2 linked regions of the Neurospora crassa OR74A genome follow. The protein of the gene in region 2 purifies or fractionates together with the protein of the main gene of each other region. This does not show direct contact. Links are inferred from orthologs where the notes say so. Each region holds a gene or a part of one and is shown on either strand. Other genes may lie near its edges.

Region 1 (5,252 bases), about 3.6 Mb from region 2:
CCCGTAAATAGTAGTGACGAAGCGCATAATGGCGTTGCCCTACTCCCAGCTTGGAACGACACTCGTGCCAGATGGGAATGGGTATGGGCATTGTGTGGCAACACAACGTTCATAGGAGGGAGGCGGCGTACATGAATGACCGGCAATGATGGGCTTCTAATTGCAAGCCCACGGGTTCCGGTCCCAGGAGAGATCATCGTCAAGCATCGCGAGACCAGAGACAATACCTGCCGCGCCCTTCGGCCCCGTACCTGAGCTGTGTAGCATAGGTATGCGAGTCGGGTGGGACAGACGCGACGCAGACCACCTCAAGAATTGTGTGTAGGTAGACAGTTGATGTTGAATGCTGCCGAGAAAAGCGCTGGTTTATGAGGCGCAAATGGCAAGCATATGGTGCCGCTTGAGGATAGAATTGTGCTCATACAATATAGGGTATCAGTGGGTTACAGCCTAATAACCATGGGTGCATGGTCTAGTGGTATGATTTCTGTTTTGCATTGAAATTTCTATCTTGCTCTACAGACGGTCCCGCGTTCGATCCGCGGTGCATCCAATTCTTTTGACTTTTTGAGTCTCAGAAAGCTATTTGGTTTTTGTTGCATCAACATTGTACCAGATGCCTTGATTTTTGAATTTTTGTTTGGAGAATTTTCTTTCGGCGTGCGCGTGTTTTTGTCTTGCTGAGATCCGGTCACTTGACTGTCTCGATCAATGTACTGGGGCTTATCACATGTGAGATCGGGTGAATCGAGAGAATTAACGACACCAAGTCTCAGTTATGTTCTACATTCGCACGGTACCTTGGTGTATGATTGCCTAATGAAATTCGTTTCAAGCACTATAGGCCATTGGAGGCGGTTAATCAGCTTAAAACAGACCAACGGAGGAGGCTCGGGAGGGGGGAGATGATTCAAGCACAGGCAGAGGATCGATACCAACGTCCTATCCAAAGAACCAATGTCATTGTTCTGTACAAAAGCGGGTATCGCTTCAAAACGCCTATATCTGTTTCGCTCCACAGCTCTTTTGTGACTGCCCTCAGTCCCGCTATTATATTGTACAGTGTGACCATTTCGTCATGGCACCAATCTTTGATCCGTATGCCCTTATTCAGAGTGGTGTGTTTATGCTGGAAATGCTCAAGGCGCCCGCTCCGTAGCCTGCCTTTCTATACATGTGCGACGAAGATTCCGAAACTCCCAATGGCCCCCATGCGACCAGATCCCAGTTTTGGTATGATACATTTATTCTTGGTTGCCGCAACCGATAATAGTGTAGTGAACATAAACAAGCGCTCGACGCCGAGTGGTGATGTGGCAAAAGCGTGCTCCTTCACCTTAAAAGACACGCTCGTTGGAAAAAATGCGGGCTTAGATGTAATCACGCCCGCTCTTCTGCATCTCGATCAATCTCCAACCCCTGGTCTCGGGGTTGTTGACATCCTCAGGAATACGAGTAATGCCAATGGCGTAGGTCACAAGCTGAACCTTGTCCTCCATACCGGCCGCCAACTTTCCAGTCTTGGCGTTCTTGTAAACGTGAACTTCTTGAGTCCTGCAAGTGATGACGAAAACAGGAATGTCGCCAGGCTCAAGCATCCGCGCCTTGAGAACATCAACACCACGGATGTCGAGAATGCGTCCGTCGGACTTGAGACCAGCCTGGAGATACTGCTTGGTCAAAGCCTCATAGACGGAGTACTGGGCCTCCGAGAGCCAGAGCTTCAGTGTTTCAACATCACCCTTGACGTACGCCTCGAGGACTTCAGGAAGGATGTACTCGCGCAACTCCATAAGGAAATTCTCCATGTTGAAGCCGGGGTCCAATTCGCGAAGCTTCTTGATGACCTGAGCGGTCTCGTTTTCGGCGAAGAAACTGCCAATCTTGTCGGTGATACTCCTAGCAGTGGAGATGAGGGGGTTTTCCGACTCCTCGTAGACGGTCTTCAAGCCGAAAACATTCTGGACGAACTTGTTGGAGTCGCGGAAATCCCTCCATGCCTCCTTCCAAGCGGCATCTTTGTGGAGAGTGACGTTGGTTCCGGCACTGCAACAGTTAGCAAATCGACCAGATATGTCCGCAGGGCTTGTTCTTACTTGGGATCCTCCTCAAGGATCTGAGGGCCTTTGCCAGCTGACTCCTTCAGCCACTTCTCTCTGCGTTTCCTACGTTCCTCCTTCTCAGCCCAGCCGCCATATCTGGAGCTGCTTCCGTCATCGATGACGTCCTTCACGTTCTTGTAAGCCTCAGTCTCGCGGATAGGCTTCGTTGCCTTGTCCAGAACCTCTCCGGTGATGTTGGCGCCCTTACGCACTCCCTTCATCACTGGCGTCTCCCAAGTCCACTGAGCACCCTTGCCGACGGCAGTCGCGGTGGTCTTGACAACCTTGCCAGCCGTAGAGGAAACAGTACCAGAGGTGGCTTCGTACGCCTGTCGTGCACGGCGAATGGCCTCGCTCTCTGCGATCTGGTTGGCGGAGGCGGCCAATGCCTTGGTCGACTCGTTCCATTCCTGAGACTGCTTGAACTCGGTCTGCATGGTCTCCATGAAGACCTGCCAGGGAGTCTTGTCACCGTGGGGAGGTGGAGGCGGCGCATCCTCCTTCTTTTCCTTCTTGGGCTCACCCTCTGACTTCTCGCCCTCCTCCTTTGCTTCTTCAGACTTGGACTCTTTCTTTCCAGTGGGCTCTTCTTGCGCCTTGGGTTCGGTCTCTGGCGTTTGCTGCTTAGGCTGCTCCTGTTGCTGCAGCGCGCGGAACGAGGCGTGGAACGAGCGGGCTTGTATCGCGTTAGGGGTAAAAGGCGACCTTAGTAGAGGAATCTCCTGCGCGGAGATGGGCGTGGCGGGAGAGATGCGACTTTCGGTGGTGTTGACACGGGAAGCGCGGCTGGACAAGAGCCGGCTGGTCGCCGGTGACCTGACATGGGTGGTATGAGGAACGGCCGTGGCTCTCAACGGAGCCCCCGGCGACGTCCTTAGGACATGCCTATATGCGTTCATGTTTGCTATCCCAGCTGGACCGTCCTGCGGAAAAACCTGGGAGACGGAGCCTTCAAGCTGATGCAGACAACAAGTCGAAGCACGGGAGTGGAGTGCGTAAAGTTGGCGGACGGAGGGCAATCTTGCAAGGGCCGAGGACAGAACTTAGAATTTGCGCGCAAGCTAATGGAAAATGGATCGGTGGAAATTCTGCTGCAACGCCAATGGCCGGGCAAATCGATCCAATACGCGCTGAATTGGTCGGCTGGACACCGAGGGTCCCCCGAAATCTTTTGGCTTCTTTGCCCCCGCTCGGCCGCAAAACTGCTCCAAAACTGCCCCAGAACATTTCGTTCAGTCCCCCGCTGTCGGCTCACCCTTGTTACCAATGCCAAGAAAAGTGCCTGCCCCACCGCCGACCGGTTTCATGGTCGCCCTTGATTCTGCAGCGGTGCCGCTTGCGTTGCCTGCCCCGCGGCCATCCACTCAAAATTTCGAGGACCTTTGAACTTCCGGTCGGCGAACGGGACGGGAGCCACCCACTCACGGCATTCGCACGCGCACCGCGCACCACGGAGCCACGGTCTCTCCACTACCTGTACGACTCGCTTCCCCCAACTCCGGCATTGTGTGCGCAACTGCTCTTCCACCAGCTCATTCAAGGTCACTTTTCCTTTGTCGTCCACCCCACCGTCGCGACAGCTCCGAGGAGCATTTGGCCAGCAAAGATGAGCCGCTTCTCTACCGGCCGCCTTCTGGCGCAGAACCTCTTCCAGGCCTTCAACAAGCCCGTTTTCCCCAGCGCCACGCCAGTATGGACGCGGGCGTTCTCACAGACCGCCGCCAGGAGGGACGCCGATTCCGAAAGCTCAGCCAAGTTGATGGAGTCTTTGACTCGGGGCATTGTCGGCATGGCCGCAGATCCCACCGATTTGACCGGTGACAAGCTTGCAACCAACATTGGATTGAGGGATACCGAGGACGAGCCATACCACTTCCACATCTACTCGCACAAGCACAACACTCACATTACCGTCACCAAGCCAAACCGCGACGCTCTCATATCCCTTTCGTGCGGCAACCTTGGCTTCAAGAAGTCTAACCGCAAACACTACGACTCGGCATATCAGTTGGGCGCCTACGTGGTAGACAAGATGCATCAGATGAACTTGCACAATAAGATCAAGAAGATGGAGGTGGTCTTACGAGGATTCGGCCCTGGCAGAGAGGCGGTCATCAAGGTTCTGCTTGGAAACGAAGGAAGGATGTTGCGCAGCTCCATCGTACGTGTCAGCGATGCCACACGCCTCAAGTTCGGTGGTACAAGGAGCAAGAAGCCCAGACGTTTGGGTTAAGCGAGTGCAGCTGGTCTTGGGGACAGAATTGGATGGGGAGCCGTCACAGCCTGGCTGGCAGCAATGGGCTGGCGGTCGTGTACATGTCATGTATAAACAAGAATCTGTCATTGAATTGCATGTTAGGATACCCGGAAGGGGACCGCATGCCGATCCGCTTCCAGGTTCTGTTCTCTTCATTTCTTATGACATTTAAAAGGGTGCTTTGAGGCTCAGAGAGCGTATTTGTTGCTGTACATGGCCCAAGGATGAGCTTCCGGATGTCCCATTGCATTGGAGACCACGGCGAGGAACACCGAATCGTTGGATTACCTTGGTTCCGATACTGTACTGTAGCGTCCCTCTTGGGAATCTAGAGGTACCGGCAGCCCGGCAAGAACCGTACTGTTGGACCCACTTAAATTTTCAATTGTCGGCATGGCTCCCGGCGACGGGAGCTAAACGTCGAACATTAACCAAATTCGGATGAATTCCACCTTATCCCAGACCTCATCCGACCCGGAGCCCTCTCAATTCTTGCCGACCCTTTTCGGCCTTCAACCTCTTCCGCAAAGCCATGTAGAATAGAGAACTTCGACCACAATGTCGACCGATCCGCAAACCCCGCTTACAGCGGGATCAATTCTCAACCTCGATGTGCTCTTCAACAATCCCGTTTTCGCCGGTGGCATGGGCCTCGCCGGCCTTGGCGCCGCCGCCGCCTTTGGTCGCCGGGCTGCCATCCGTGGTGCCGGATTACTGAAACGTCAGATGCTGGTCAATGTCGAGATCAGCAAGCGTGATCCTTCCTATAACTGGGTCCTTGCCTGGCTGGCGCTGCCGCGAGACAACACCGGCTTCATCGCCCAGCGACTGACGCGGCTCCGCAACCTCTCCGTCTCTACCACCACCAAGTCTATCACCCCCGGCAAGGACGA
Region 2 (5,252 bases):
TCTGCACGGGGCCAACCTCACGGCAGGCGCGAGAGTGGTTCTCATCGGTCACGAGACATCCTGGAAGGGAGGGCAAGGCCGAGGTGGTGACTGCCAGGGTCAGGGCAAGAAGGGAGTGGATATGCATGTTGTTGGCGGCGGACTAGCCAGTGGACTTGGTTGAAAGTGTCAGAAAGTTGTGTTGAAAGGATTGAGGAGTGGTGAGGATGTCAGGTTGGAGGTTGGAATTCTTTCGACACTGCTGAGAGGAGATCGTTGTCGTTTATATGCTTTGCTGCTCGCTCATTTTTGGTAGGCAAAACACCATGTGTACCAAGATGATCGAAGTTGTAATGTCCGCTTCTAGAAGAAGCACAAACTGTAGTGATTGCTTACTGAAAGGGCGCAAAGTGGCGAGCCGTTGCGGTTTTTCGGACCAGTGAAGAAACTTCGAACCGAAGCACAGCAGTAGTAGCTATCTAGAGTAACCTCCAAGTTGGGTAGAACTCCAGATCTATGACCTCAAGCAGTGCAACGGTTCTCTGCCTACTGGATGTTCATGGCTTGTAAGATCTGGGAGCAGTGACCAGAGGGACTTGCCAACATACCTGGTGGAAAGAAAAGGTCTCCAGACATTGATAAGTGACCCTGGACACAAAGATCCGTATCTCGACTGTGCTCCTCACAGTTCTGACCCGACGGCGTGGTCAAGAGGGGTTCGCTCGAATGCGTAACATTTCATCGAATTAGTATCGGCTATCCTACCCCTGATCGGGAATATGTCAAGGATGACAAGTCATAGTCCTCGCAACACTGGACGATGAGATGTCCAATGCAATAAGGTGTTGAGTTGTGCCAACCCAAGCTCAATACCAATGACTTTCTTTAATAAAGCACCGGGTTCGACTGGTGGGACTGTGCTCGCTGACAATGCGAGGACAGATATTTATCTCGCTTAACGCGAGGCGGCTTCGATAACGAGAGAAGGTGAATGAGCTAGTGGGTGTTCTTCGATTAGGATGTTCCCTCGACTTGCGGTCACACAGTAACGTGCTCCTGGCATCACGAATAAAATGCAGGGAGGCGAACAGACAAGACTTCTTGCTGAGAAGGGATGTTTGCCCGAAGTGATATGGAAAAGTGTTGGAATTGTCATAACTTTTTTTCGTTGAGAGACATTCTACAGCACCTCTAGAGCCACACCCTCAGACAGATTATGTAGATGTATGAAACCTTCTCTTTCCTAAGTGACCCACGCCTATTCCAATGCTCCGCATGTGAAGGAAGAATACCATGACCGGAGTAGAGAAGTCCGGTAAATCCCTTTAGTGACGCCAATCATAGACAGAGAATGGAAAATGGAAAAAAGAAATAGCACAAGACATGGTAAAAGTACAAGAAAATGGTCACAAGGTGTTGATACATATCGTCGCGGATGACTGAGGGGGCGGATTCGTTTGGTCGATTAGGCCTTCTTCTCTGACTCGCCGGACTGCTGCTCGCCGCTGGGAGCACCGCCGAACCAGCCAAAGACGGAACTCTGCATGTTCTTCATCATCTCTTTCTGGGCCTTCTCCTGGGCCTCCTGCTCCATCTTGAGCCACATCTCGCCGTTCTTCTTGATCTCCTCCTCCATGGCCAGGTAGTTGCGCATGCCGCGCTCACGGGCAATATCCTGGATCATCTTGCCCTTAGCAAAAGCCTCAGAAGGATCCTCCTCGCCCTCCATGGCCATGGGGTTCAGCTTGCTAGGCTTGATGCCGAAGCGGGCGCCAAGCGAGCCCAAGCCAGCCTTCTTGGCCTTGGCGGCAACGAGCTTGTTGTGCTCAGCGCGGGCAATGGCCTCTCTACGGGCAAACTCGGTGGGGATGTGCTGGCCCTCGAAGGACTTGAGGACCTTGCGAACATCGGGGAAGTTCATGGTGTGGATGAACTCGAGGAAGGGGACGAGGGACACGAGCTCGGTATCCTTGGGATCACCCTTCCACTTGGGGAGGACGATGGCGTTCTCGGGCTGGGCGCGCACGTGCTTGGGGTCGGTATCAATGATGATGACCTTGGACAAGTCTCTGTTGAGATAAGAAAGGTCCTGTGCGACAATGGTTGGTTAGCTACCGTGATGGTGCAATCTTGACAGCTCTAGGTGGTCCTACCTTGACGATCTCGCCATCCTTGTACTTGGTCGCCTCCCTAAAGAGGGGCCACATGATGAAGCGGTACGGGTCCATCTTGCGGACAATAGGCTCAGCGTTGGCAAAGGGAACGCTGGTGAAGAGAACAATCTCGTAGTACTGGCTGAGGTAGCGCAAGAAGTAGTCGACACCAGGACGCTTGGCGAGACGCCAGCCGTGGTCGCGCGTCCACTCGCTATGCACCAGCATATCTTCCAAACTGATACAGAGGGTGTACGGACGCTCGAATGACGGATCCGGGTCGGGTAGCAGCTTCTCGAAGGCAGGTTCCTGGTAGTAGCTGACGGTTCCAGTCATCCTGGCCTTGGCCCTCTTCCACCACAGGCCGAGACCCCAGCCATTTGGTATATCATGGTGCTTCTCAAGCTCCTCCTCATCCCATTCCCTTCCCAAGTAGATCGTTCCACCCACCAAGGCGAGACCAGCGGCAATGAAGGCCCAGTTGGCCATCTTTTGGCGGCGCTTCTCAGTAGAAGAAACGTAGGCAGAATCGGGGAGCTGGCCCTTCTTGCGGCCGCCACCACCGCTGCCTGACGTAGCGGCCTCAGGGCCCTCGGCGCCCTCAGCCTGTGTCTCTGCCTCCTCACCGGCGACCGGCTTCTTGCCGGCCTCCTTCTGGGCCATCTCATACTCTAGGGTGGTGGGAATACCACCTCTTAGATCGGGGAGCTTGGACAGGTCGATTTCGGGTTCGGGTTCGGATTCGGCTGGGGTTTGTTGTTGCTGCTGTTGCTGCTGCTTCTGCTCAGCTTTCTCGGATTCGGCGGGCTCGGGGGCCTTGGGAGTAGCCTTTTGTGCGGGAGTGCTCTCGGGCTTGGAGAACTTGGGAGGCTTGTTGTCCTTGGCCATGGAACGGGTCCAGACGGCGGGCAGGGTGCGCTGCGACAGGAGAGGCGACGCCGCGTGAGCTGCAACACGCGCGCCCGCGATGGAGCGCACGGCAGCTCTGGACAGCATCATGACTGATATTGGTTGGACACACAAAGGGCAGCAGCTGTTTGGAGCTGTGTGGTGTCGAGTGTCCCCTAGTGATGGAAACCGGAGGTGGATGGATGCCCGGGTGGTTGCAGGAGGGGGGGGGGGGGGAGCTGGTTGCTGCCTCTAGGTGGTGGAAACAAGTGACGATAACAGTAGGATAACGGAAATTCAGGGCGTCGTAGTCAGTTGCAGTCAGTCAGTATCCGCTGGGCCCGATAGCGATATGATATCCCAAAACCAAACTTTCCAATTCCACAAACTCAAGCTTCCCGCCCCGGCCGGCTGCTCGCCCAGAAAAAAACTTGAGTCCTGAACCTTCCGTCACAACGCTGCTAGTTGAACTTCAGCCTTGGCGCGCTTCTTTCGGTCCAATCAGACACGAAGGAGGGGTCTGTCGCTGGATCTTCCAAGGCCGCCGTGCACAGACCTTTGATGTTCTGAGAGTTCTTGTTCCCGGCCCCAATGGCCCCACATACGGAGTTAAGCGTCAAAGACAGTGGGGGACATGTCGTCATCTTTCAGCTTGTGGTTGTTGCATGGATGGATGACAATCACGTCTTTGATCTCCAATTCACCATCTCAACTCCAATATGGCTTAAAAGATAAAACTCTTGATCTCGTCTCCAGGAGACTATCTATTACGACAGGTGTCTGAGATCCTATGTCGGTTGGAAGATTCGGGCACGATTTGACAGGTGTCGTTTATTGGACTGCAGATACTGAAAACGTCAGACGACCGTGACACTATGTACTCTTCCACTGGCATTGCGCCTACAGACGGGATGCTTTTCGACGAGCAGATTACTGTTGCGTGGAAAGGAGCAAGTATAATTTGTAAATGAAGGGAGGTTGCGAACTAAACAAGTACCGGGCATTCAAAGGTATGACTGGCTCTTCGATAACTAAAGCTCTTCTGAGCCATTCAGATCACTTCGCTCTTCTCCTAACCACACAGTTGCTATCTAAACGACGGATGGAAAGCTTGGGTGACCTGACTGACGACTTGATCACCTCAAAAGTCCCCCAGGTGAACCATATGCTAAGTGGATGTTTTTTTCTGTTACAATCCAGTTCAGTAGTTGTACCTCTTGGTGATCCAGGCCATTTGTGTGATTTCCCTACTCTACCCCTAACCCTCTTGCTATCCGAGTACAGCTTATGTAATGCGTCGGTCAAAGCAAATCGTCTGCACACTCAGCGATACAGCGATGCCGTGTTTTGCTGTGATGGACATCCAATTGAACCATTCAACATCATCCACTCAGTTGCCTTCCCCTCACCTGCACTTCTCGGTAGGTAGGTGACCACTTCTTGCTCGTTTTGTTTCTGCATCGTTCTAGCAAGCCGAGACGGAACCGAATCGATACAATTGACGAATCTTCTTTTTAACACAACACTTGCCCTCTTCTGCTCCCAACCCATCTTCTCTCCTTCCCACTCCCGTCTTCTCTGTTTCTTCTGGAACATATCATCATTCATCCAACGCTCGAACGGCTGCGGTGATCCAAGCACAAACGCAAAGTCCACTCCTTCCCCGCCACCCGAACCGGCATTATCAATCATCCAAAAAAAAAGTCCAGTCCGCGCTCTACAACTCCCTGCCACTTACCATTCCAACTCCCAACTATCGCCGCCCACCATGGCTTTCGCGAATGCATTCTAGAGGGTGGTCCAGTCGTTGCGCATTCAGTACTCACGATGGGACCACCCTCTCAGAGTTCTGCGTACTCAACCACACACACAGCCTAGACATACTACTTATCATCGACGCATCGAGCTTAAAGCCAAGAGTCAGAAGAAACTGAACCATCTCAGAACCGATCTTTTATCCTTCCAGATTCCTACAACATCCACTTACATTCATCTCCCACCCTTCCCAAACCCTTGACATTCAACATTTGCCACTTCGCGTTCCGAAGGCACAGTGGCGCCAGTCAGCCCTACAGACTGCTTATTCGTGTTTTGCCAGGATCGCGATATCATAATCACCACTACTTCTACTTACCGTATCTCTCAACCTTCTCTTCGCTTGCCCTGTCGTTAGACGACGATCTACACCACAATGCCTCGCAAAGCCACCCAACAACTAGTGGGGCGTAGAAT

Evidence for each region. The genes of interacting proteins can lie anywhere in the genome.
Region 1: the proteins of tim50 (region 2) and tim44 purify together in Saccharomyces cerevisiae (affinity purification with western blotting; 3 studies listed by BioGRID, with this or other methods). This does not show direct contact. The link is inferred for Neurospora crassa OR74A from reciprocal best matches to the Saccharomyces cerevisiae genes TIM50 and TIM44.

The regions. Positions count from the first base shown.
Region 1 is NC_026501.1:4,983,126-4,988,377, forward strand, and holds tim44 (mitochondrial inner membrane translocase subunit TIM44), read right to left. Parts: upstream 3,205-5,252; 5' UTR 3,002-3,204; coding exon 2,097-3,001; intron 2,047-2,096; coding exon 1,371-2,046; 3' UTR 820-1,370; downstream 1-819. Other genes in the region: NCU03230 (mitochondrial ribosomal protein subunit S18), read left to right, coding at 3,205-4,335; NCU03231 (mitochondrial chaperone BCS1), read left to right, coding at 4,918-5,252. UniProt on the Saccharomyces cerevisiae protein: Essential component of the PAM complex, a complex required for the translocation of transit peptide-containing proteins from the inner membrane into the mitochondrial matrix in an ATP-dependent manner.
Region 2 is NC_026501.1:8,624,683-8,629,934, forward strand, and holds tim50 (mitochondrial import inner membrane translocase subunit tim-50), read right to left. Parts: upstream 3,403-5,252; 5' UTR 3,132-3,402; coding exon 2,133-3,131; intron 2,069-2,132; coding exon 1,445-2,068; 3' UTR 945-1,444; downstream 1-944. Other genes in the region: NCU02944 (hypothetical protein), read right to left, coding at 1-127; NCU02942 (hypothetical protein), read left to right, coding at 5,212-5,252.